2 linked regions of the Kluyveromyces lactis genome follow. The protein of the gene in region 1 interacts with the protein of each later gene in a pairwise test. Links are inferred from orthologs where the notes say so. Each region holds a gene or a part of one and is shown on either strand. Other genes may lie near its edges.

What was found.
Region 2: the proteins of SAC6 (region 1) and ARC15 interact in a protein complementation assay, tested with the Saccharomyces cerevisiae proteins (2 studies listed by BioGRID). The link is inferred for Kluyveromyces lactis from reciprocal best matches to the Saccharomyces cerevisiae genes SAC6 and ARC15.

The regions. Positions count from the first base shown.
Region 1 is NC_006042.1:1,831,051-1,834,623, forward strand, and holds SAC6 (fimbrin), read right to left. Parts: upstream 2,651-3,573; coding exon 677-2,650; downstream 1-676. Other genes in the region: ERG27 (3-keto-steroid reductase), read left to right, coding at 1-479; KLLA0_F19800g (uncharacterized protein), read right to left, coding at 3,094-3,573. UniProt on the Saccharomyces cerevisiae protein: Binds to actin, and functionally associates with actin structures involved in the development and maintenance of cell polarity.
Region 2 is NC_006039.1:699,713-701,688, reverse strand, and holds ARC15 (Arc15p), read left to right. Parts: upstream 1-1,014; coding exon 1,015-1,476; downstream 1,477-1,976. Other genes in the region: ARG56 (bifunctional acetylglutamate kinase/N-acetyl-gamma-glutamyl-phosphate reductase), read left to right, coding at 1-668; YRB2 (Yrb2p), read left to right, coding at 1,782-1,976. UniProt on the Saccharomyces cerevisiae protein: Functions as a component of the Arp2/3 complex which is involved in regulation of actin polymerization and together with an activating nucleation-promoting factor (NPF) mediates the formation of branched actin networks.

The DNA of each region.
Region 1 (3,573 bases):
CTTTACAAGATATTCAGCTATTGGAATCCGATGTTTCTTATGAAGGTTCAAAAAGATTAGTTGATTTGTTACATTCTGCAACATATAAAGAGATGAAAAAGCTCGGAATCCGCCAATATCTCACCCATCCTGGTATTTTTACCAGTCTCTCATTTTTCCAATATTTGAATGTTTTCACCTACTATGGTATGCTCTTCTTATTCTATCTGGCCAGATGGATTGGTTCACCTTGGCACAACATACAAGGATACAAAGCAGCCAATGCTCCTGTATATGTAGCAACAATGGCTAATCCGCACTTTGAGAAGGAGCAAATGAAATACGGATCGGCAACTTTTAGAGACGGTTTAGAATATATTAAAACTGATGAAGTTGATACAACCGGCTGTGAAGATGTGTATAAATACATCTCCAATTTGAAACTGCAATGGGATGAAAAGTTAAAAGACCAGATTAAGCCTACAAGGATACCATTATAAATTTTACATAATTCAAATAAATCGTGTAGAATTATTGTTTATCGTAATGTTGCGTGCGAGTTGCTTATAAGTTACATATTAGATGAAGGATCATTTGAAAGTAGTCACATACTATTTGAAAGTGAGGACTTAAGGATTCGAAAATACATATACAGACTTTAGAGCTGAAGTACAGTAAATCTTGAAATATCGCTGTATTATCTCTTTAATGCCATCAAAGAAGCAACGAATGTCAATATCAATCTCGAACGGACTTCGTTGATGTCTTCTGGAACCAACCAGATTAGAGCTCCTAACTTTCTAGCAATAGAAATAGCCAATCTGGCGTTTGCATATCTGTCCTCTTCAGTTTTACCAGGTAACACTAATGAGTAGTCCACATAACCTGGGGCCAAACCATTTAGGACATCCAATAAGAAGTGAGCGTTGGACAACGAAGGATCGCTGAAAGATCTTATGGTGGATGATTTTCCACCCTTGGAAACTGTTTCTTGAGCCCACTTTAAGATTTGGGAATCAGACATATCTCTACCAGTCGTGGCCAATTCATTCATTGTATTGACAATATTCTTACGCATTAACTGCCACACCAAACCTAGCGTTAGTAGTTTATTACCGTCGACAATATCAGAGCCATCAATACCAACCAAAGAGAATCCTCTAGATTTACCTAAATCAACAGCATAGTTAGTATTTTCCAAAGCCTTGAAGCGTGAAAGTTCAGAGTCAGATGATTTCTTGTTGATTACCTTCCAGTTTACAGATCCAGGAATAACCTTATCATATGCCTGTAGAAGTACTAATCCATCCTTTAAGTCTTCGAATAGTGACACAACTGGAGGATCTACTTCCAAAGAATTTAACCACAAAGTGAAAACTCTGGCTTCTCTCTCACCTTCTGCATCGAAATCCTCAATTTCGATAGGTTCGTTTTCATCCAATGGATCCAAACCAGGATGAGTGTTGAATAGATGAGCAACGAAGGCTAAGTTTAATTTAGGATTACCAGCCACTAATGCCGTTGGAGTCAAATACTTTCTGCATTCCAATTTTTCAGCGTTTTGTAAAACTTCTTCTGCTCTTTCTAGCAAATCGGTGGTTTGTAGTGGTCCCAATGAGCATAGATTTGAATCCAATTGATTTAATAATACAGTATAATTTTCACCATCCTTGATATCAGAAGAGAAATTGGAGACCCTTCTGTGCCACCCAGCTTGTTTCAAATGGTAGTTGAACCAACGCAACAAGATTTGTTCTGGGGGTAGTCTTAGGAATTGCTCCAAAGTTTCATCTTCTTCTAATAAACGGTACAATTCCGGGTGTAATTTGATATCAATCTTGGATAGCAAACCTCTCCTAATAATTTGCCAAATTAAACCTAAGATCAAATGTTCTTTACCTTCAATAATATCTTCAGAGTGAACATTAACCACAACACAGCCGATAGCTTTAGCGGAATTGATCACAATGTTGGCGTTTTCGGAAGCCGTGAAAGTGTTCAAAGCCTTGTTATTCTTAGGCCAGTTTAACACTCTGGTATCGATGGTGTCCGGGACAGAATCGTTAATCAACTTGGACAACACCAACCCATCTCTACATTCGTCGAATAATTGGAAAGTATCGGTAGGGAAAGGAAGCCTATGACCAATGTCTGCGTCCCCAGCTAGCACGGAATTGATATGTGTAGTGAAAGCCCTTCTTTCTTCTTCATTAATCGTGTGGGTGGTACCAGAAGTGGAACCACCGACAATAATCTGAGCTTTCTCACCAGTACCTTTGTGTTGCAAACCAATCGATTTAGGTTTAGTTGGAACCGGTGGTGCACGGTTGCTCTGACCGGAAATGTTAGGAAAGCTCGTTTGTGGGAACCCCTTTGAATTGTCTTCGTCCTGTTGCGTACCTTGAGATGAACCGTTTGCTCTTAATTTTGCCATCAATTCCACGTAATCCTCCAATTCAACATGACCCGAAGCATCTACATCAACGGTCTTCAAAGTCTCCCTAGCTTCATCATAAGATGCAACACCAGACTTGGAAATGGATTCCAAAATTTGAGGTTTTTCAACCCAGCCCTTATCCTCTAGATCGATGTTTCGAAAATGCTCTATCGTTTCGAAGAGATCTTCCTGAGAAAACTCAGGGAACTTTCTTTGTAATCTAATAATATTCATTATTGATCAGTTTATATTGCTGTGATTCCAATCAATTGCACTAATACTGCAAGTTGTAAACCGTATAGGCAGAAGGAAAGACGAGGGCTTCCTTTCTTGTTTCGGGCGTGGAATACGGCTTTCAAGGTTTATGTTTTATATTCCACCATGTTAAACTTTATTCTTTAAAGGGCTTTTCGATTGGAAATGGAAAAGGAGAGAGTATGTGATGTTCGTATGTTATGATAATTGAAGGGAATTAAAGCCAGTACAAGCCTCCTGGTTCAGCAGTCTGATCATACGGTGCTTTACACGGGTTTCATCGTCCGTCTATCCATTTGCGTATGCTATTTATGCTTGTCGCAGTCTATTTGCATTAGATATATTGGGATATTCCGCACTGTGGAATAATCTTGTGAGCTGTGAGGGATGAAATAGTCACAGGAGTTAATACTACTAGCCAGCTATTCAGTGTTTTCCTCGTACTTCCACGCCTCATTTTGGACAAATGCTGTTTGGAACTGCCGGAGCTGTTTGTATAGATCTTGAGATGAGTTCGAGTAATCGAATTTCGGACTTGTTTCTGGCATGTCATCATCCATTAAATCTAGCTGTTCTCTCCATAGCGTTTGGTAATACGGTACATTGAGCCTGGATTCAGGTATTGCTCTATCTTTATCAAAAAGTCTTCTCATGGCAACCTCTTGTTGTTGCAATTGATCCACTTTTGTCTTGTTTAGTATATTATCATGGAGTATGAAAGGTGACGGATCGTATTTGAAACTGAGAGTGTTTTCAGATATCCCTGGTGCCCTTTGTTTCCCATTCATATCCCTGTTTCTATTGCGTTCATTCTTGTAATTCAACGGAGTGTAGAGCGAAGAGTCGCTGAATACATTTGCCGATGTGCCCATCCCAACGTTGAAATCCTCATCTGTTGAGTG
Region 2 (1,976 bases), on another chromosome or scaffold:
CTGATCATAGATTTGTCCCGGAGACGGAATGGAGCTACGGATTACCAGAGTTAAACAACAGAGAAGCAATTGCCAATGCTAAAAAGATTGCTAACCCCGGTTGTTACGCCACCGGTGCCCAAGTAGCGATTGCTCCTCTATCGGAATACATCACAGGATTACCCACAGTCTTTGGTGTTTCTGGTTATTCTGGTGCTGGTACTACACCATCTCCAAAGAATGATCCAAAATTCTTGAACAACAATCTAATTCCTTACTCCTTAACAAACCATATCCATGAGCGTGAAATTTCAACTCGTTTGGGTTTGGAAGTCGCATTTGTTCCTCATGTTGCCCAATGGTTCCAAGGTATTTCTCATACTATTTCTATTCCTATTAAGAAGAACTCACTATCTTCAGAACAAATTAAGGCCTTGTACACCGAATTCTACGCTAACGAAAAGTTGGTACATGTTGCCGATGATATTCCGTTAGTTAAGGACGTTTCTGGTACTCACGGAGTAGTTGTTGGTGGTTTCAAGGTAAATGATGCAAAAGACCGTGTCGTAGTCTGTGCTACTATTGACAACTTATTGAAGGGTGCTGCCACTCAATGCTTACAGAACATCAACCTGGCCTTGAGTTACGGTGAATACGACGGTATTCCAGACAATAAGATTATTCAATAAACGGAACCACCAAAGAATAACCCGTATATCTATATCAATTTGAACTTAGTTAATATATATGTATAAGAAGATAATGTTATCATCTGCTTATCGTTCTTCCTGTCAGTGATAAACAGTCAATCGGTCCAGTGCTGTAAACCATAGTTACCCTGTTTCCAGATTTATTACCCGGATATCTCCTATAAGTTACTATTGAATGGGATTCATATTGAATGGAAACCTTTAAATGGATTAGGTTAAAATACTCGAAATAACTGCAGGCCGGTCTACTTCTTTTATCAGGAAGCATTAGCGCTGAATTATCCTTATCGTATTCATCCAAGCAGCTGCCTTCTGAACTAGTAATATGGAAGACTGGAGAAGAATTGATATCGATGCTTACGATCCTGAAAGTGGGAGATTAACGGCGGATGATTTGAAACCACCATATTCACATACCGTGAGTTTACAAGAGTTACAGCCAACCATTCAACAGTTACGTTCTTACACATCATCTGGTGATTTTGCAGCTGCTGTTGAGCTATTCACAACTGATCCTCCATACAACGCCGACGAACAAGCGAAATCACAATATTTCTCTGGTATATTGGAGGTGCTAACCCAAGTGAGACAAGTGGATATTGCTAATATAGTTAAGCGCTTGGATCGCAAGCAACAAGACGCATTGATAAAATACCTATACAAGGGTATGTCTATACCTGAGGGTCAAAAGCATGGGGGTATCCTTCTCGCATGGTTCGAAAAGTTAACGCAAGTTGCGGGTGTCAATCCAATCGTTCACTATCTCTCGGATAGAAGAACTGTATAAAGAACTATATAACAGTACGATTTTACTTAATTTAGTATGATATATTTACTCTAACGTATATGATCCAGTTTCACCTACCAATGGGCGATCATTACGGATCTTTGTTTGTTTGGCCTTTGTTCACATGGAGTGCAGGCCCTTTATTAAGTATTACTGGGACCTCTCAGAGTTAGTATTTCCAAAAAAAAAAAAAAGAGAAAGTACTAGTTTTAAACATTCAGTTCTTATTGAAAGCACAGACATATGCCAAGAAAGGGTTATAATATTGTCAAGAAGGCTCCAGTATATTGTTCCTGCTTTTCACAATGCCAGAAACTTTAAACGATAGCAATAAACGTGCGCTTCCTGAGGTGAATTCGGAATTAGAAAGCACAGAAACTCCTGTGAAGAAGGTCAAACTCAATGATAAAGATGAAGCAAAACCTTCAGAAGAGACTGATAAGTTCATAACAGAGAATGATACAGCAAATGAAGAGGCCAATTCCGTAGAGAGACCTAAA